Lonchura striata: one gene and its partners. The protein of the gene in region 1 purifies or fractionates together with the protein of each later gene. This does not show direct contact. Links are inferred from orthologs where the notes say so. Each region holds a gene or a part of one and is shown in the gene's direction. Other genes may lie near its edges. The genes, in order: CLSTN1, APBA2 and KLC1.

Region 1 (7,525 bases):
CAGACACTAATTGCACTGAGATGAAAAACAAGCCCACACTTGGTTCCAGACTCTTTATTTAAGGTAACCATTTTCTCAATGCAGTTCTAGACTGTTTGAAGTTTGGGCTCTTTCCCTGTACAAATCCCTTCAAACAAGAGGCAAGTCTAATGTCCAGAAGTAACAGTGAATATTCTGCATGTATTCAAAATAATTTGTGATCTGAACTCTAACAAGCAGATCCGGATTTGATGTTGATGCACCCGAGCACGTCCTGCTGCTCCCTGTATTCAGTGTGCATTGCCTGCCTTTCAGGAGCAAGCAAATGCATTCATTTCTCCCTATCACCCTATCTTTCCTGTTCTGGCTGCTCAGCTCCACTCTGACAAGCACAATAAATGTGTCCTCCTGGGTCCTTGCAAGCCAGGCATTAGTCACACTGTGCATTTCAAGGACATCAGGCCGATAGGTTTTCAGCTGAAACAGAAAACATGTCCTGCCAGGAGCCATTTGTTCCAGTTTTGTTGCTTACCAGTAAAATAAAGATCAATGGTTTTTTGGAACCAGAGAAGCAGGTCAGAGAGTAGGAGGGAGATAAGTGGTAAAATGAAGTTGCTGAAGTTAGTTCCCTGAATTTCTCTGAAATAATGGCATGTGGCATTTGGGATAGAATGAGGATCTCTGTCAGCGTGGGAAATGAGTTTCCTCTGGCAGACAGGAGGAACAGGACAGCTCTTGCCTAACAGCAGACAGGACTGGTGCACAGCAGGTCCCACACTGGGTGATTGAAATCAAATTGAGCTTTGTGAAACAAAATGAGAGGATGTTGTATTTGCCGCACTTCCAGAGTAAGTGCCAGTGCAACATCTGTGGTGACAGGGATCAGGATTTCATGTGGCTGCCTCACCTCATCCTGTCTGTATCAGCCTCTCAACTGCCTGTTCAAACCTCTGCCACCCAAGGAAATAAAGCCATTGAATTGATCCTAAAATACAGCCTAAAGAATTGTTTGCTTTACTGAATCAGTGCCTTAGTCACAACTGACTCGGAGGAGTTTTGCTTAGAAAGTGAAATGCCATCAATGCCTTCTCCTTCCTTGGAAATTTCCCAGTTTCAGCATGACTGATTCAGCTGATTAATTCATCTGAGCTGGTAGTGTCATTGTGTAATAAATAAGGTTTACCCAGACATAGCATTTCTTCTCTTAAAAGCATTTCCTCTTCCTAATTCTGCAGAATCAGAACAATTTAAACAAGTCCTGATGGTAACACTGAAACCCCTTCTCACTGTGGTCCATGGTGCTCTGTTTTCTCCTGTTAAAATGCATGATACAGCCCTAGTGAAATGCAAAGCACTTTTAAAATGTTGTTTTGCCACACCTAATGATAACTTAGTTCGCAAAAAATGTTTTAATAGAGAATGTGTATGTGAATGCTGACTGGCCAGACATTCAGCCCTCATCAGATACCTTTACATTGACATTAAAGCTGTGTCCATAGTTAGATTCCTAATCAAAATCCAGTATTTGGGTGAGTACTGGGTGTGTATTATGCCATATATTCATCAATGGGCAATCATCTTTCAACTGATGAGATCTTGCCTAGCAAATCTTTACTAATGGGGTGGTTCTTACTCAGACGGTACATTAGTAAGCCTAGTTTGAGAGTCACACTGTGCTGGACAATCCTCCTCTCCACACAAAAGAGAAACACATCATGTAGCACCCTGTCAGCTGAAGCTGCGTTGGCAGAATGTAAAGACTCAGCTCTCTGGCAACAGATGGGCTACAGGCTTCTTCTGACATGATCTGCCATCCAGCATATGTTAGCCAGGCTGAGAAATCAAGGAGGTTTAGACTGAGGCTTTAGCTTTATTTAAAAAAAGGAGATGTCTTAGCTCTTGCTAGAGCAGCTGCCCTACAGTCCATGGAATAACTGGAGTACCTTGGCTAGGGGAGAGCTGCAGGGCACAGGATGGAACGGGGGATGTTCACTGTCTTGGGCCTCAGGGTGCGGCTCTCCAGGCTCTGAAGACAGAGTGAACAGCGAGTAAAAGCGGTTGGTTTTGGGCGTGGAAGAGGAAGAACATTTTTCCTCTGGATGCCCAAATGTACCAGCTTGTACAGACCAGATTCTGTCACCTCCGAGGCCCGAGTGGCTGCTTCAGGGCAGGTTTCTCCAGGTTTCTCACCTTTGCTTTCTCCCCCAACTCGAGTGTGGGGTGACCAGGTAGTGAGCCCTGGGCTTGCCTCAGGACGGAGGAGGAGGCTTTTCCAGCACAGATCAATCTTGGTATTTAAATTGCACAGGAAATAAGGAAATACCACATCTCTAAGATCCTGAACATTCTGGACTTTATTTTTATTTCGCTGTGGGAGTGAAATGGCTAGTAGGTACAAAGCATAAGTACTCAGATCTAATTATAAAATAAGTTGGTTGCATTTTAATTGTCAAAACTCAAAACTCAGATCATGGTATTGATTATTTTTTCCTTTGTTGAAATATTTTCTCATTGGAATTTTGGATAGTAGAGCAAAGAACTTTTCTGTTATAGGACTTGTTCTGTGTAACTTAATGAAAATTATTGATTTATATAGCACTTGGAATTTTTTCCAAACCAGAATAATATTTTCCTTTGATAGAAGTCACAACACTAAAAGGTTTGTTACTCTGCAGGGCAGACTCAGCGATGCACCAAGGTGTGTTTGTGTTTGGACACATTCCTGCAGGATTGCACTTCTAGAGCTGGGAAAACAGCAAGGCAGGGTGCTGGGTTAATGGTTGGATTTCATGATAATAAAGGTCTTTTCCAAACTAAATGATGCTGTGATTGTTTGTGCCCGATGCTTGTAGCACCAGGTGTTGGCAGTTTGTTCATCCGAGCTGCTGACTGGGCTGTGCATCCCATTCCCAGCGTGTCCCTGTACCTGCCTGCCTCTGCCATCAGCTTTGGGTTGGGTGAAACCCAGCGGTCCTGTCTTGTTTTTCTGAAAAGATGTGTGAATATAAGGGCGAAGGCATCAAAATAGCTTTATATGGGGTTAATTATTTCTTAAATAGCTTCATACGGGGTTTAACTCTTCCCAACGACTTGGGGACTTAATCAGCATTTATTAAATGAGCGGTGTGAGGCTTTGGCCAGGCACCAATTGAAATCAGCAGTGTGAGGCTTTAGAGGGGCACCAGTTTAAATCAGCGGTGTGAGGCTTTGGCCGGGCACCAGTTTAAATCAGCGGTGTGAGGCTTTGGCCGGGCACCGATTTAAATCAGCGGTGTGAGGCTTCGGAGGGGCAGCAGGTCCCCTCAGCCGTGTGAGGCGTTGCGGAGGCCGCTCTGCTCCCTCCCCCGGCCCGGTTCTGTCCAGCCCGCGGTACGAAGCCAAACGAAGCCCAGAGCGCCTGAAACAGCGGCGGCGGCGGAGGCGCTGCGGGCCCGGCGGGCGGGAGGTGCCCGTGAGGGAGCACCATGCCGGTGCTCGTGAGGGAGTGGTGATGCCCGTGAGGGAGCACCATGGCGGTGCCCGTGAGAGAGCACCATGCCGGTGCCCGTGAGGGAGCGGCGGTGCCCGTGAGGGAGTGGTGATGCCCCTGAGGGAGCACCGCGGCGGTGCCCGTGAGGGAACACCATGGCGGTGCCCCTGAGGGAACACCATGGCGGTGCCCCTGAGGGAGCGGAGATGCCCGTGAGGGAACACCATGGCGGTGCCCGTGAGGGAGCGGTGATGCCCGTGAGGGAACACCATGCCGGTGCCCGTAAGGGAACACCATGGCGGTGCCCGTGAGGGAACACCATGGCGGTGCCCGTGAGGGAGTGGTGACGCCCCTGAGGGAGCACCACGGCGGTGCCCGTGAGGGAACACCATGGCGGTGCCCGTGAGGGAGCGGCGGTGCCCGTGAGGGAGTGGTGACGCCCCTGAGGGAGCACCACGGCGGTGCCCGTGAGGGAACACCATGGCGGTGCCCCTGAGGGAGCGGAGATGCCCGTGAGGGAACACCATGGCGGTGCCCGTGAGAGAGCACCATGCCGGTGCCCGTGAGGGAGCGGCGGTGCCCGTGAGGGAGTGGTGATGCCCCTGAGGGAGCACCGCGGCGGTGCCCGTGAGGGAACACCATGGCGATGCCCGTGAGGGAACACCATGCCGGTGCCCGTAAGGGAGCACCATGGCGGTGCCCGTGAGGGAGTGGTGATGCCCCTGAGGGAGCACCGCGGCGGTGCCCGTGAAGGAGCGGCGGTGCCCGTGAGGGAGTGCCATGGCAGCGCTGCCGCAGTGCCCTCAGCGCCGGGGGCGGGGCGCGCCGCAGCTCGCGGGGGTCCGCAATGGGCTCTCCCGGCCACCCCCCGCCCCGCGCCGTTGGTTCGCTCCCTCCCCCGCCTGTGCCCGGCGCGGGCCCGGCCGCCATTTTAGGAGCCGCCGGCGGGGTGGGCGGGGGAGGGAGGGGAGGGACGGTGAGCGGAGCGGCGCCGCGCAGCGCTTCTTCTCCTCCCTCCTCCTCTTCCTCCTCCTCCGCGGGGCCGAGCCGAGCCCTCCGCCCGCCGCACAGCGGAGCCCGGACCAGCGGGGGCGCCAGCCGGGGCTGCGCGCTGCCGTCCCCGCTCCGCGCTGCCATGCCGGCCCCCGCCGCCCGCCTGCTGCTCGCCGCGCTGCTCTGCGGAGCGGCCGCGGCCGCTCGAGGTAACGCGGCTGCGGCGGGCGGGGGAGGCTGCGCGGCGCCTTGGCGGCCGTCCGGGTCGCCTGGCGAGCTGCGGCGCGGGCGGGCGAGGGGACGGTGTCCTTGGCGCCCTGCGCAGGGGAGGGAGCGCGGAGGCGGGCGGACACCGAGGGTTGGGGAAGGGGGCAGGATGGAGCTGCGGCCGGGATGACTCCGCCGCGGCCATTGCACCTGCAGAGGGGACGAGCGGATGGCGGCTCGCCCTCCCGGCTCACCTGCGCCCGGCGGCCCCGAGCCGTGCCAGCCGCGGGGGGCCCGGCCCGGCCCGGCCCGGCCCGGCCCGGCCCGGCCCGGCGGGGGATGCGCGGCGGCGGCGCTCGCTGTGTCCGCCCGCCCGTTACATAACGGGGCCCGGGCGGGCGGGGGGCGGCACTTGTTGCCGGGAGGGTCCAGCGGCAGAGCCGGCCGGAGCGGGGATAAAACCCCTGGGCAGGCGGGCCTGGCTGGGCTGGCGTGGGAAAGCTCCGTGCGGGGATGAGCCGGAGCGGCGCCCGGGCCAGCCCGTGCGGGTTGGCGATGTGAGCGCGGGCGTGTGGCTATTGATTGATCCCGAGGAGCAGCAGCATCATACGCATTGCGGGGCTGCTCCCCGGCAGGCTTCAGTGAGAGGCTCGGAGATGCCTCCTCACCTGAAGGTTACCCCTGGCAGCGGGAATGCTGCTTCTGCAAGATTCAGCTGATCGCATGATGAGATTTAAGAGCGTTGAAAAGCAGCGTACATTAGAAGTGCGGCTGTAAAATGGCTTATAAATACCTTGAAGGGAACTTCTAGATCTGAAAAACAGCTCGTTATGGACACATCTTGCTGCAGTTTCCCTGTGTGGGGAGAAGAAGCTGATGCTGTAGTATGTCTCGAAAGTCCTCTGCCAGCTGTTTTGACAGTGGCCATCATTTACCTGTGTAAGATCCCTCGAGTACAATCTGTTCACCAGCGTTCATGTTATCATTAAATGTAGTATTTACTACACCAGTACACAAGCACAGTGTTTTTGAATTCCATCGTTTGAAATTAGGAATAAGATCAAGATCAAAAAACCATTTTCCAAGAAAGCTGCTTGGAAACAAATGGCAGATTCATGCAGCATTACCCAGGACAGCGCTGGTAGGCAGATTTTCTGCAGCTTGTTGGAGGCAGTACCTGTTTTCAGTCAGACCTACAGAGCTGCTGGACTGCAGGTCCTGATCTGTTTAACTTCATCACACATAACTGAGTTACAGAATGAGGGCTGATTCAGTGTAGTATGTGCAGCTGCCTTAGTCCTTGCAGTGTTTTGGCTGCTGTAGGTAGGCCTGTTAATAATATTATGTGGAGATGCACTTAGTGACAAGAAAAGAAAGCTCTGGGCTGCTTGTTTTTATTTCCCTGTTGTTAGGGAAGGCATTTGTTTGGAAGCATTTATGGTAAGCTTTCCATTTTGTGCTGTATTGCTAGTTTCTTTTTTTTTTTTTCCAAGTACAGTTGAACTTGCCAGTTTTGCCATTCCTGTTGTTGGAACAGGGGAGTGAAAAGTGGTTTTGTTTTGTTGATTGTGGAAAGAAAGGGAAATAGCATTTGGGGGATGTGATCTTGCACAAAAAGCAGGTGTGAGCTAGCTGACCTACCATCTTCCCTGTAGTTATTTTAAGGGGTGCAGAGAGTGATTTTTGCGTTCTAAAGAGGCATTTTCCTGTCCAGCTGGTGCAAAACTCCTAATTGAATTTGTTTTGTAATTGATCAAGTTGACCCAAATATTTCTCAGGTGGTTGCAGTGGAAAAGCAGTACCTAGCAGTGCATTGTGGCTGTGTTTGCGGGTGAAGCAGTTGGATGTCTCTGCCCAGAGCAGGCTGGGGAGTGGAATGGAGCAGCTCCGGGAGGAGGAGGCAGCACAGCTCACTGCTGCTGCTTCCCTGGGCCTGACCAGGCAGAGTGGCAGACCTCTGTTGTCTTGGGGCCCTTCCAGCTCACTGTCGTTTAGGAAGGGTATTGATGGAAGGAAGTAATACTATCTTGAAGAAACTTTGCTGATCTGTGATTATTTCAGGAAGTTATGTGGTGCTGTGAATGTCTTAAATCCAAACCACAAACCACTTTGTTACTACCACAGTCTTGCTGCAGATGTTTCTTTGACACAGGAACAGCCTTTTTAATATAGGGCTGGGGATTAGGTAGGTTCTTTCTCCTTTCTAGAGGCAAGGAAATGTAACACTACCCTAAAGCATTATGTAGAGACAATTTGGCTATTTATGTGGCCTGTTCTTTTTTTGTTCTCCAAGTATTTATGAAAGTAAGAAACCACTGAGAAGAGAGAGAGAGAATTAACCAGTGCAAGACCTCTCTACAATATATAGTGCTTGGGAAAGCATTATATACAGCCATCTGTTCATGTAAACAATTTTAATCTCTTTTTCTGTATGTGTTATTTAAAATAATGCACTGCTGTGGAAACTGAAATGGAGGAGAGATGGTCTGGGCAAGCATGGTTTACACTGCATTTTGAATACTCCTGTGCTGGTTGTCTTCTCCCATGTTACCAGGCTGCAGGTTGTGCTGTCTGTGCTGAGGTAGCTGGAAAAATTAACAGAAACTTCTGAATAAATGTATCTTTGGTTTGAGGTTGTAATGTTACTGCAGACACAAAATAACCAATTGCAAATATTTTTTTTAGGAGGTGGAAAGAAGCTGGGCTCATGGGCTTCAGTGTGTCATGAAAGTCAGAAGGGTTGAAGTTAAACCCAGGTCAGGCCACATCTCTGCATAATGTGACCATCCCACAATTTAGAATTCTGATATTCTGGGTAAAACAGTGTTTCCTGCCATGAAGCCCAAGTACGTGATAGCTGAGTGGCTTGCGGCTCTG
Region 2 (7,024 bases), on another chromosome or scaffold:
TAGTCAGTACACAAAACTGGATCATGTTCTCACAAGCTCTTAAAATTTGATGGGATCAGACCCCCTTACTTGTCTGGGTATGTGCTACAGGACAGGAGAATTTCCCCTTCTGGAGCTGCAGACTTAGAGAATAGCCAAGGGAGCTACAGCTGCATATGATCTGAAGACAGCTACAGCTGAGAGAGGTTTCCTGGTTATAAACTTAACTCCCTTAGACTTCAGTAGGAACAGAATCAACCTCTATCAACTGTGTAGTCCTTCACCTTAAAGCAGGCAGCCTATACAAGTTGTTGTTCTGACTTACCAAGGGGTTGGGACAAGGCTTACTTACATAGGCCTTACTCTTTGTCACTACCATGATTATAAGAGGGGAGTAACACCCAGAAAAACTGGAAGTTCAGGGATGGAAACTGGGGAACAAGAGAGCTGTGATTTGCTCCTTTCAGTGGAGGGGCATTTAACAATACACTCCTGTTGCATCATTTTACAACTTCTGGGAAGAACAACAGTGATTCAAATAACTGGAGCCTGATTATCTTGGAAGGGAAATAGTTTTTGACAGTATTTAATCTTTTTTGGTTTTTGTCTGTTTGGTGGATTTTTTAAAACAGCAAAACCTTCTTCTCTGATGTCAAGCTTCTCAGAAGATGGAGTGTTAGTATTTTGCCAGTAAATTTTCTCATGCTTTTGCCACTAGTTAAGTGCAAGTTCCCTGTTCTAATCTCTCCATGTGCCTCTTTTCCCCTCTGAGCTGAAGCGTGTTCCTATTTTATACTGCCTAAGGCAGACAAGATACATTTTTCTGGACTCCATCAACATTACTCAGGCAGCTAAAGAGCTCATAATTAAATGATGCAAAATATCTTTTTTTACTTCCTCTCTGCAATCCTCAAGTCACTCCTAGGTGGGAGGAGGTGAAGAGGCTGCAGAATGAATCCCATTCCTTATGATGAGACAAACCTAGAAGCAAACTTAAAATGCTGTGAAAAAAACTAACTTTATGCCTTTTAAAAGCTAACCTTACAGTTTTGCAATTCTGCAAAAACTCTGTTCCTGTCATGCTTATTCTGCAATTAATGCACCCGAATTTCATTCTGAATTCTGTTGCTTTCATTATTACCATATCAACCTGAAGTCTCATAGAAAGACCATGAAACATAGAGATGCTTACATTATCTGGTTGAGGTACTTACAGTAGGAGTGTATGGACAGTGACACTTCATTTGACTCTGTCCTTACAAGGAATTCTTCCTGTAGTGATGTGAGATGGGTGTGTTGGATGTAAGAACCCTTAACTAATAGAAAAACTCAGAATTGTTTCAATATCAGTTCTTTTACCAAAGCACTTGTCATGCTGGCCAAATTGAGGCTGTCAAACAGAATAAGATCATCAAGTTCAACTAGTTAATGAATATGAAAATAGGAACTAACAACAATATATAAATTAATCAACCTAGGGCTGACATTTTGCAATGGAAGACCTCAACCACTTAGGAATGCAAAATCTGTCACCTTTGACAAGCATCTTCAAAGCACCTTGAACAAATTATGAAATAAATATTTATCTTATTGTGAAGGAGGGATATTTATATCTTGTATAATCCTTAAATATCTATAATATTATGTAAACTGTTAATGTTTGTTTTCACTGTCTGGTATATTGTCAAAAAGCACTGCTAACTGCAATGTTCTTAGCATAGTAATGAGGAAGAGTTCTCTGATACATTTTAACATAATGATACATTTTGAAACATTTAATAACTTTTCTAGATCTGAAGTGGCCTTTCAGCTGTTACTGCTAAAACAAAAATAGTAAATAGGTATTAAAATCTTCTATAAAGTAGATATTTAATGAAAATTTTTACTTATTTTTAACATTACATTTTTTTCAGTAATAAAGACAGGTTCAAAACATAATTTTAAGATCTGAAGTAATTTGCAACTGCAGGTACACTGAAAGCATGTATGATGATGCACAATTTGCATTAAATAAGGGGAATATCCAACTCTGCACCCATGGCTGGCTTTTATGGAAATGATTATTTCCAGAAATTGAAGAGTAAGAGAGGTATGTTCCAGGATTGGTATTATGCACCCTATTTTTACCTTCCATTTTGGTATGTAATTTTCTATAATAACCATCTGTCTGAATCACTGTCTCCAAAATGATGTGGAGGGAGAATGTTTGTTAGAAACTTAAATTTTAAAAAGTTAAAAGATACATCCCACTTCCTTTGGGACCTCTGAAGTCTTTGAGAGGTCAATTGTGGTACAATACCTGCAACTGCCGTAACTTCATAAAGAAAACATCTGCCCTATTGGGCTGGAAATACTGCTTTTGGTATTTTGATAAAGTGAGACTTTATTATGTATAAGAGGCTGTTTCATCAAGTTAACAATTTTGATAATTAATAATTCAAAAGATCACTTGCCAAATGCTTAAACAACCTGCCTATAGGTTATATATGTAGATACACTGCAGTTCTGTGTAAAACATACATGTATTACAGTTTGGGTAATGTTTTGAGTTTTCAGTATCTTCAAAAGAAAACCAAAATCTGTCCAGTAATTGGGATATAGAAAGGGACAGATGGGAAAAGACACCATAGAAAACCATGCCAGAAAATAGCCTCTTAGCAGCAAATGGAGAGTCTTAACAAAAATCTTAACAACTAAACCTTAAAAATCTTAACAACTAAAAAAACCAAAACAAAACAAAACCACAAAAAGGTGTTTCCATGAAGGACCTTTGCATGTACATGGAATGTGTCTTGATACTAACACGAGAGCAAAATGAACAACCCCACGCTGAGCACACAGCTATTACCGTAAACACTGATACCTAGCTGGTTGTAGTGCAGTATCATTACATTAGGACAGCTTTTTACTTTTGCTATAGTGAGAAAGATTAGCTGCTATCTCAAATTTGCACAATTATTAGCAAAGCCTGTCAGAATTGCTCTAAGATATGTGTTTCTTTATATACAAAATAGTCACTATCACCTAGCTGCCCTAAAAATATCTAGAGGTTTCAATAAAAGGCCTGAGGAACCAACTGTGTTTATCATCCACTGTAAGAAATGTTCTTGGAGAAACTTCAGTGAGCTTTTAAATAGTACACATTGAATCCTACATTAAACTTTAGGGGTGGATCTATGTATTATTTGCACAAGGGCACAAAAATCATGATTTGTCCTCATAAATCTGGCTGTGTGATGGAATGTGACTGAGTCCAGTGCTGTCCCTTGCTATAATGGTCAAACTTTTGGTGTTTGGGGCTTTGTTGTGCTGAAGCACCTCAAGCAACAGGGAGAGGTGAGGTGAACACCTAGCAGGATGACACGGCATTCAGGAATGTAATTCGCAGAGAGATGCTGTGGAGACTCCGAGAAAACATCCTCAGCTCCGGCCCAGCACCAGAGCAGATCCCTGGGGAATCAGGGTGGCCCTGCCGAGTGCCACAGCGGGATGCGGGCGTGCAGCAAACAGCGCTGCGGCAGCTGCTGCCCGGGGCTCGGGAGCGGAGCTGGCGGGGCCTGCTCTCAGTGCCCGCGTCCGGACACGGTCACCGAGTCAGGACTGCCCGGGCTGGGAGGCACGGCCACCTGGAGCAGGTGACGGGAACGCGTCCGGCCGGTTCCGAGTGTCTTCAGACGGGGAGACCCCACAGCCCCCCTGCGCAGCTCTGCCAGGGCTCTGCCACCCTCAGTGTCAAGCTCTCCCTCACGCTGAGGTGAAACTCGTGCTTCAGTTTATGGCCATTGCTCCTCGTCCTGTCGCTGGACGCCTCTGAGGGCGCGGTACAGGCGGAGCTGGCGCAGTGCCCGGCCGCCGGTGCGGAGCTGGAAGGCGGGCGGGCCGGGGCGTCCCGCCGAGCCCGCCGGGCTGCGCGGGGCCGCGGCCGCCCCCCGCTGCCGCCGGGGCCGGGAGGCGGCGCGGGCGCTATGCGCCATGCAGGTTCCCGGGCGCTGGCGCAGGCAGGTTCCCGGGCGGGCCCGCCGCGGTGTGCGGCGCTCGGCAGCCACACAAAAGAGCGGCTGCGGCTGCCCCGCTGCTCGGGACCGGCGCCGCCGCTGCACCGCGGTAAGGACGGGGGGCGCAGGGCGGGGGGCTGACCGACCGACCGACCGACCGACCGACCGACCGACCGACCGCCGGCCGGGGTCGTCGCGGGACCGGCGGCTCCGTCGCGGGTGGGGCGGCAGCATCCCGCGGGTGCCCTCAGGGGAGCGGGGAGCCCCCGGGCACGCGCCCGCCCCGCGGCAGCACGGCCGGGGCTCCCCTCGAACCGGGGCTGGGGGCTGCTCTCCCCGCGAGCGGCTACCCCCGCCCCATCCCATCCTCATCTCCATCCTCATCCCCATCCCCTGGCAACCGAGCTGCCCGCAAGCGGACGGGAAGCCGGGGTGAAGGGGAGCCCCTGCGGCATGGCGGAGCGGCCGCGCTGTCGCGATGGGCGGCGCGGGGCCCCGGCACCGGGGGCTGCCGCACTCCCGCTTGTCCCCGCTGAGCCCGGGGAGGCGCCGCCACCGCCCCCCGCCAGGCGGGGGAGAACCGGCGGCGATCCCCCGGGCCGGGCTGCGGCTCCGCTCGGCTCCCGCAGGACGGTGCGAGCTCCGAGCCCGGCCCGGCCGCCTCAGCCCCGCCGTGCCGGGACGGCGGCTCCGGGTAACGCGGGCACCGGCCGTGCAGCATCCGCATCATGTCAGCGTTTTGTGGCAGGGCGGGAGGCTTAAGTCCGTTTGTCTTAATACGAGTGAAAAGAAAAGCGAGAGGAGCCCTCCTGTAATGCAGCACCGCTCGGAGTTTGTATTTGGTTCTGGTTTCATGTCTCCACTGTAGCAAAGGGATCAGTCTTTGATCTGCTCTTTCCCCGTTCCCTTAATCATGAAATCTGGAGGGAAAAGGGTGCTCAATTAAGAATATCTGATTCTTGTTGGGATAAACAACATGAGATAGTATAGCACGGTCTGTTTGCCTCTTATTGAACAGTTTTTTGAATATGTGTGTGTGGTGCCTTGTATTGCCATAACAAAAGGGATGGGGGTGGGGGAAAGGAAGGGAATACTGCATTTAGAGCTGCATCTTGGAAAGTCAAAGACTGCCTTATTTTGCCTCAACTGGCAGTCTGTGCTTTCAGATTTACACACTTTGCATCCTCAGAGTTGTTTTGGTGGTTGTTGCATGCTAGTGAGGACATACAAGAAAAGAAATTTAACTGAAGAGATCATACAACGTGTATAGTACAGAGATAATGTGCATTGCAGTGATGTTTAAGAAAAGTCTGAAATTACTGTGACCAGTTGGAAAAATGCAAGTAGTTTTTTCAGTTGTATTACTTGGCCCTATAATCTCCCAGGAGGGGCTGGGAAATCTGTTTGCAGAAAAGGTATTTATCTATTATGCCTGCTACCCAAGAATCCCTCATTAATTAATAAGTAGAACTGAAGAAAAGAACCAATTACTGTCATAGTTTTTTGTCGTTCTGTGTAAGCCTCAGCGTTTCAAATATAACATTGTTTTAAAGGGGAGGAATTCTAGTTTAAGTCCTTATTGCCACTTAAAATACAGTATATGCAGGTTATGTGTTTGAGAAGCAAAAGATTGACATTTATGTCAAGCATAAGATGACAATTTATCATTATCATCCTGGTTCTTCTCCATATGGGACAGACAAGATGAAAGAGCTTTTCTTTCATACGTTGTTCTATGAGAGCTAAACTGCTGAAATTGAAGCCACTGTCCTTAGTCCATTTCATAAGTTCATAGGATTTCATGCTGCAGAACTGTCCTTATAAACCCTGACTGTCAGTTTCGAAATCTCTGATAGTTTAGCCCATATCTGCACTTGGAAATATCTGAAGCTATATTAAAAATGCATAATCAGCTACATTATTGCTCTCTCTTGATCCTCTGATAGTAAAGGAAAAGTGTTCTTGCAAAAGCCATAGATGCTCAGCTCTTTTGGTCAAAGTATTACAGTTCCAAGGAGGAATCTCGATAAGCATGTTTTGTGTAGATACTTGATTAATGCTGGTTCAGGCTGGGGACTGGACATGAATTAAAACAAGCTAGGTCTTTGAAAAGTGACCTTTGCTTAAGGCTGTGAACATGAGAAACCACTTCAAGAAGCATAATTTTGCCATCTCTCGAGCTGTTCTGCTAAGAAGATTTGCTAAGAAGTAATTTGTGAAAATACCATGGTTTAACCATCTTTCAGTTAATATTCCTGTGCTGAGGGTGGAGAAATTAGAAAAAGTAACCTGTTCCAAGCTACCAGCTCACAGAGAGATATAGAGGATTCTGGTTTTGTTCAGAACTAATCTTGGTGGTAGCCTTTGAACACATCAGAGTTCAGGTGCTTCTGCAGAGTTTTTATATCCATTTCCCTTGTAATCTGTGTTTAAATAAACAAGGCAATTATTTCATGCTTTAAGCACTGCAATGGTAGAGGCTGAGAAGCAGCCCTGCCAAAAAGGCCCAGAGGTCCTGGTGGACAGCAAACTGGACATGAACCAGCCACAACCCCTGGCAACAGAGAGAGCCAGGAGCATCCTGGTCTGTATGAACAACAGTGCAGCCAGGACATCGAGGGAAGTGATTATTCCCTTCTGCTCAGTAGGTGATGTTTATAACCCTGGGTCCAGTTTTGGTCCCCCAGTAAAGGAAGTTATTGAAGACCTGGGGTTCTGCAGAGGCCATTGAAGTGGCTGGGGCTGGAGGCTGAGCTCTGAGCAGAGGGTTAGGGAGTGGGACTTGATCAGCCTGCAGAAGGGAGGCTATGGGGGCACCTAACAGCAGTCTTCCAGTCCTTATAAGAGTTCCTCAGGGAACTGGAGCCAGGCTCTACACAGTGGCATGTGCCAAAGAATGAGAGACAAAAGGCATATGTTGAAATAAAGGTTCAGACTAGATACAAGTAAAATACTTTGCCCCACAAGGACAATCATACATGGAGACAGGTAGCCCAGAGAGGTTATATGGTCTCTGTAAAGACCAGGCTGGATAATTCCCTCAGCAAATT
Region 3 (6,934 bases), on another chromosome or scaffold:
CTTCCTAGAAATCCTTGTGACTCTGAAAAAGAAGAATTCACTTGCATGTAAATAAAGCTTATTGACTTGGGAAGCAGGACCATGATCAGTGTTTATTTTACTAAGAATTAATGCCTTGCCTGACAGTAGGTTCCCAATGGTAAGTTCAGGCATTTGACAATGAGTCAAGCAAAGCAAAACACACTCCTTTTACCCCAAAGTGCCTGAATTTTCTCACAAAAAGGTAGCTCTGCATGCAGTAATTGTACATATGAAGAAAAGAGTTGGGCTAAAATTGTGCCTAGGACTGGGTGCTTGACATTTCTGAGTCTTGAGCACTGGTTTTTATGTCTCCTCTTTTCCATAAAGGATGTTCTTGTAGGAAATACAAACTAAAACATATGCAACTGTCAAGTGGTTTTGATGAAAAACCAGCCAGATTGCTGAATCTGGCCTTTCAATATTTATTATTGCCAGGATGCTTTTAAATAGCAGTTTAGCAGCAGTTAAAATTACTCCAATATAGTACTTTATTGTGGCCATATTTCTAAAATTATGTCATAGATTTTATAGACTATAAGATTAGATTAAAAAAAAAAAATCTCTTTGGATGGGAAGATCCTCTAAGACAGAAGGATGTATTTTTTTAGTACAATGGTGTGCTGGTGGCATTTGGCCACTGTCAACCCATCACAAACTGTAAAATAAAATGACCCACACTTCTTAAAGGAAGTGAACCTGAATTTCTTTAGAGGTTTGCCCCATTTCTGAATGTCAGGTAAGCTGACCTCAGTTCACTGTGTGTATTTCTCACACTGTTGCACTTCAAAAACCACAGAGCTTTGTGCTGCATTAGTTGAACTGTTTGCTTTTTGCTCTCCCACTGTGCATTACAAACCTCCCTCTCTCTTCTGGGAGTAGAGGGAAATTGGAATATTGAGACTAAAGAATCCAGCATTGTAAATAATTAGTTTTGGGGTTTTGTTTTGGCATGCACTCAGGAGTCTGCAGAAAACAATGGTGACTTTGCTGGTGATAGGCAAAGGATCATAGGAGTCACCATCCTTGAAGGTGTTTAAGTAAAGATTGGATATGGCACTTAGTGCCATGGTCTAGTTGACATGGTTGTGTTAGGTCATAGGTTGGGCTTGATAATCTCAGAGGTCTTTTCCAACCTAATTGACTCTGTGATTTCATAATATACTAGAGACAGCATATCTCGATAATTTAATCAAAAAATCAGGGCTTGCAGCATAACCAGTTCCTTAAGATAAAATGGAAATGTGGGCAGTGAATAGTTTTTACTGCTAGATGAACCTGGATAATTCTCATGTAGATGAGACAGGAAAAACAAGATCCAAATGAAGAGGAACTCTTTGGATATTTCAGGTCAGGCAGTAGCTTGAGGAAAAATCATCTTCACCAAGTCTCTCCTGTGTCTAGCTTCTGCTGTGTGCCATAAACACAGAGGAGTAAACTGCACTATAGTTCCATTGAGCTAATCAACCTTCCTGCAGGAGAGAGCTTATAGTGTGTGCTGTTTATGTGGGAAATTGCCAGGATGCATATACTTGATTAGCCAGCATATTATGAATCAGGGTCATAGCTGGAGTAGTTGCTTTGTTCAGGGATGCTCATATCCCTGGGGTAAGCAGCTAATTGCAGGAAATCTTTTAAAGAAAATGTGTGATAGGAAGAAAGCAATGAATATTGTTTATTCAAAAGGCAGGAGTGGTTCCTTTGAATCAGTTCTCTTGCATAATTATGTAATTAGGGCATGTTCTATTTTTAATTAAAGCTCTTGCATATTCATGAGAATACTCTGAACCTGTGAACCAATTGGTATAACTCTTTAAAATGTAGTTTCTGTAAGGGAATGCCCTTCAATCTTTTTCCCCCTTTCGTATTACTGTGCAAAGAGATATTTCACACTGTTATAATTAGGTTGTATTGCCTGTTAAAACTAAAATGTGGTTAATTAAACCATTAATATAAAATTGCCAGAGAAAAGTTTTAAATTGAGATGAAGAATACAAGAACTGCTGCTTGGAAATACTTGTATCAAAACTGGGTTTTGCTGGACAGCTGGATCTGTGTAAAATATCAATCAGAGAGTGGAATTCAGTAAGTATACTTTATTTCCCTCAGCTTTTCAAATCCAGCAATGATTCTCTGTATTTACAGTCTGAAGACTATCTATGTTCCCCTAACTTTGCTTTGTTTCTTGTGGGCTTCTGTGACTCTTCCTGTTCTTCTGCCTCTTTGACAACAGCATTAGCTTTGATTCCTCTTCTGACTTCCTGCTTATTCTTAGGAGCCTTGCTTTCTCACCCGACTCTTGTTCTCACATCTATTCTGTAGACTTGCTCAGCATTGTACATGAGGGCAAACATATGCAAGCTCTGCTTTCCTTTAATACTTTAAATATTACCACTTAGGTGAGGCTGCATATTTTGATTTACCACTATACCTCTATGTTCTTCTATTAGGTTATGATTCACACCCTGTACATATTGCAGGTCCCCTTCCACTGAACAATGCTATTCTATTCTATGTGGAGCTCAGGTGATAATGCATCACAATACAACTCTTTCATAAAGTTAGGCTGTCACTAATCCCTGATGATTTACAGTGTACATTTTACAGCTTTGCTATAATTAATGTTTTGAGTGCTTGGTTTTTTTTTTGGGGGGGTCTTTGTTTTTGTTGTATTGTTTGTTTGTTTGGGTTTTTGAATGGTTATTTTAATTTTTTTTCTATCTTATACCTCAGTTCCCTCCATCTTTCCTTTCTGGGCTTAACGTCTAACTAGTGGAACATAACATGAAAATACTGTGGCTGTTCCTTCCTCTCTAGCAAGAGTGGGAATGAAATTGGAAGCTGCAAATAAATAGTTCTTGTGACAAGTGTCACTGAGTTCTCATGGAACTCTTACTTTTCATGTATAAATATGTGTAAGAGCAGGGACCTTTCACTTACTTCCCCGCAGAACAAAGATGAAGGCATTGAAATATATTGGCAACACTCACTGAGCTCTGTGTGGTGGGCAACCTTTAACACAGTACTTCTCCTTCAGCTTATTTCTCTGTGACTCGCTCCATTGAGCCGTTGCAAACTGCGGGGATTTTCAAGCATATTTCATGAAGTCATGGTTGGAAGAGACCCTCATGATTTTCCAGTTCAACCATCTACCCAGCACTGCCCCTGTAACCCCATGACCACTAAACCACATTGCCCAGTGCCACATCCAGGTGCCTCTTATCACCTCTGGGGTGGTGGCTCCACCAGCTCCCCGGGCAACCTATTCCAGAGAATGATGAGGTTCCTCCTGAGCCTCCTCGTCTTGAAACCAAACCAACTCGGGTCCCTCAGCCATTCCCCATAAGACACGTTTTCTAGACATTTCACGAGCCTTGCTGCCCTTTGCTGGACACACTCCAGCACCTCAATGTCCTTTTTAAAGGGCGTGGAAGATTTTCCCAGAGGCATCCAACTGAGATGGGGACATCAGTTTCACGAGTCCTGCAGTTACCATAACCCTGAACTTCTCTCCACGGGAGTAGGTCAAACCAGCGCCAAGAGCACCAGCAGTGGAGCGAAACCGCCCCGGTGTCACCCAGGGCGCCCCGAGGAAACGCCGGGATCTGCTCTGCACTGACATCCACTTGAGGCAAATCCTAGCGAGGTTTAGCGCGGCTGCACTGGCAGCCTCGGGGATGCCCCTGAAGCCCGGAGCTGCGCCGAGCATCCCGCGCGGCGCCGCCGCTCCCGGGCAGGGATGGCGCCGTGAGGGGGGCGCTGGGAGAGAAGGGCGCGCGGGCGCTTGTGGGAGAAGGGGGGCGCCGCCATGTCAGGCGGGGCGGGAGGGAAGGAGGGAGGGGAGCGCGGGGCGGGACCGGGACCGGGGCGGCGGCCGCAGCCGCAGCAGCAGCAGCCGGGGCGGTGGTGGCGGCTGCCGGCAGCTGTCAGCGCCCGCTCCGCCGGCGCCGACCACCGCGGCCCTGCAGCGCCTTGCGGGGAGCACTGGGCGCGCCGTGGTGCTGACTCGCTTCTTTCTCGCCTTCCCTCCCTCTCTCCGCTCCTCTCTCCCCCCAAAAAACCCTTTTCCTTCCTCCCTTTCGCCCGCCCATCGCTGACATCCTCCTCCGGCCGCCTCCCCGCCCCGGGCTGCGCGGCCCCCGCCGCCCCAGCGAGCGCTGCGCACATCGCCCGAGCTGCAGCACCGAGCGGTGAGCGGGGGGAGCCGCAGGGCCGGGACGCGGGGTTTGTGTGTGTGTGTGTGTGCGTGTATGTGTGTATGTGTGTATGTGCGTGTGTGTTTGGGTGCGGGTGCCTGGGGCGTTCAGTTCCCCTCCCTTTTCATCCGCCGCTGCGCAAATAACAAAAGGCTGCGCGGGCCGCCCGGTGCCCCCGCGGCGCCGCCGCTGACAGCCGGCCCCGTCCTTCCGCGCCCAGGGCGGGGTGGCTTTTTGGGGAGGCTGTTTTTGGGCGTTTTGTCAGTTGCGCTCGGCTGCGGGCAGGGGTACGTGCCTGAGGATGGGGATCGGCTCGGCTTTGTCCCCGTTTCCTCTCCCGGCTCCCCTCGGTGCTGCGGCGGGCGCCGCCCTGGGAGGGAGCGGGCAGAGGGCTGGGGAGGCTTCGGCCTGCGGCCCCGGGCGTGCGGCGCTTTGTCTGCGCTCCCCCGGCTCCGCGCTCTGCCGCTGCCAGGTCCGAGCTGCTGGAGGGCGAGGCGAGGACAGGTCTTCTCTGGGCTTTGTACACAGTGACCGGATTTATACATTGTAGGTCACCTGCCTTGCTGTAGTCGGAGGCGATTCATATAGACTTAGGTCTTGCCTGGATTTCTGCACCCTCAGAATAAGGCAAGCATTGGTTAGAAACGCGTTAATCTAGCAAAAATATAGAATTTATTTAATTGATAACTAACTGTATCTTTAGAGCAGAGATTGATTAGAAGGACACTTTAAAACCTTATTCATTTTGCTTTTGTCTTTCTGATATTTCTAAGTAACAAGATGCCGTATTTATAGATCTGCATAGCAGTTGTATGTAATCAGAATAAGGAAAGTTCTTAACACTTATTGAATTCTGTGTTCTAGGCATATTGAAGCACATTTTAATGACCAATGTGGCATCACCTAGTGTAATACTCTTGTGTGGCTTTTGAAGGTGGCTAATCAGTGATGGAGCTCTTAATAAGTTTTTTTTTGTATTAAGTAATTTCCATTAATGGATATGATGTAAAAGTAGTATCAGTACTCAAGATACTGGTCATGAAGTCAGAATACAGACTCAGAAAACAAAACTGACTAGGAAAAAGCAAAAGTCTGTTTTTATAGTTTGATTTGAACAGCAAAATAGTGAGCCAGTGTCATTCATATAACATGCTTTCATGTTTAGACATAATAGAAGAAACTAAACCAGTTAAGATTCAGTTTTAGCTGTGTTGTGCTTGACAAAAGGTTTAACAAAAATTGCTCTGCAAAGTAATTGTCTCTTTCACTTCCACTTTTGCATTTGCTCATCACTTAAATAGGAAACTTATGTACAAAGTGTGTCCATTGGAAGATAAAGAGGAGCTGTTGAGAATTTAGACAGCTTCGCATTTTGATTAAAAAAAAATCCCTACTAAACTGAAAGCAGCACCTTTTCGAGTGCACAGTTGGTTTAAAACTCTTTTGGAAGATAGCTTTATTTTAATTGAGTATGAATTCCAAAGCTTCAGCGAAACATGATAGAGGATGTTATAACCCTAGGATTACAGATACAATTGGAAGTTACACATTCAGCATTTACTGGCAGCAGAGAGAAAGCTGATCCATCTGGTGAGGCTGAGCAGAAGACCTTGTAAGTCACTTGCGCAATTATTTTTGTGACCACATGGTTCAGGAGGACCTTTTCCATGAAATTAGAACAGCTATGGAGAATTCTGGCAGCTCCATTTAGGTAGACATTTCACATAATGGAGAAGCATGTGGGCAAGTGCAGGAAATTTAAATTGTCTGTTCCTGAAACTGGCTCATCAATGCAGTATCACTTCTGCATCATGTTGCAGTTCAAGTTTGGCAGCCTTCATGTTTCTGAAGGATGATGATGGAGCTGAAGAATTCCAGTAGTCAGAAATTCTAACAGCAATTAGTGCACAGATTCCCTTTACTTGCTACCATATATAATTAAAACAGAGAATAAAGTTACCCCCCAAAGGCCCTGTGAAGTAGCCTCATGGTTTGTCAAATTCCTATTATATGGTTAATAATGCCTTATTAATGGAATGGATTATTTTAAAAGGTCTCTAATATACAACAGAGGACTCACATACATAATTTGTAATTAAATGTGCAGGAGTCCCAAGCACAATCTGAATGTTTTTGACATAGAACAAAATACACTGGACAGATGTTTAAGGCATATAAGGACAATTGCTGCTTCCTGTGTTTATGGAGAACTTGCCATGCTAATGTCAGAGACCTCTCACTCATGTGCTGCTCATACAGTACACATATCTCTCTCTCTCTCTGTATCTTTTTGTGTATGCATACATATCTGCATATGTCTCCTATTTAATTGGGGGTTTGGGGAAATAATGTAGCCTTATATTCAGTTCTGAGTCCATTTAATGTAGCTTCTGTTTCTCTTGAAATGTGGGCTTGTGCAGTTACTCTTTCATCTCTTCTTCTGTTTGACTTCTCTGGGAGACGTGCAATTGAATTTACTCTGGGATTAACAGCATCTCTCCAGCTGCATAGCTCATGATTATTTTAAAACTCAATTCAGTGTACAAATACTTGTCAAATAAAGTTTCCGTAAGCGGAGTAAAAAATACAGAAATTTGGGTAAATTCATAAATAAGCAAAGTGTACTTTTGTATTCACTGTTGAAGTGCAGCATCACGGACAGTGATGGGGACAAGCATGCTAAGTCTAGTTAAATTAACATTCTTTGTAGTCAGTGTGCC

What was found.
Region 2: the proteins of CLSTN1 (region 1) and APBA2 purify together in Homo sapiens (affinity purification with western blotting; 3 studies listed by BioGRID and IntAct, with this or other methods). This does not show direct contact. The link is inferred for Lonchura striata from reciprocal best matches to the Homo sapiens genes CLSTN1 and APBA2.
Region 3: the proteins of CLSTN1 (region 1) and KLC1 purify together in Homo sapiens (co-immunoprecipitation; 3 studies listed by BioGRID and IntAct, with this or other methods). This does not show direct contact. The link is inferred for Lonchura striata from reciprocal best matches to the Homo sapiens genes CLSTN1 and KLC1.

What each region holds. Positions count from the first base shown.
Region 1 is NC_134626.1:1,483,998-1,491,522, reverse strand, and holds the start of CLSTN1 (calsyntenin-1), read left to right. Parts: upstream 1-4,514; 5' UTR 4,515-4,583; coding exon 4,584-4,650; intron 4,651-7,525. UniProt on the Homo sapiens protein: Postsynaptic adhesion molecule that binds to presynaptic neurexins to mediate both excitatory and inhibitory synapse formation.
Region 2 is NC_134613.1:9,538,781-9,545,804, forward strand, and holds the start of APBA2 (amyloid-beta A4 precursor protein-binding family A member 2), read left to right. Parts: upstream 1-3,918; 5' UTR 3,919-4,083; intron 4,084-7,024. UniProt on the Homo sapiens protein: Putative function in synaptic vesicle exocytosis by binding to STXBP1, an essential component of the synaptic vesicle exocytotic machinery. May modulate processing of the amyloid-beta precursor protein (APP) and hence formation of APP-beta.
Region 3 is NC_134608.1:9,984,692-9,991,625, reverse strand, and holds the start of KLC1 (kinesin light chain 1), read left to right. Parts: upstream 1-3,894; 5' UTR 3,895-4,208; intron 4,209-6,934. UniProt on the Homo sapiens protein: Kinesin is a microtubule-associated force-producing protein that may play a role in organelle transport. The light chain may function in coupling of cargo to the heavy chain or in the modulation of its ATPase activity.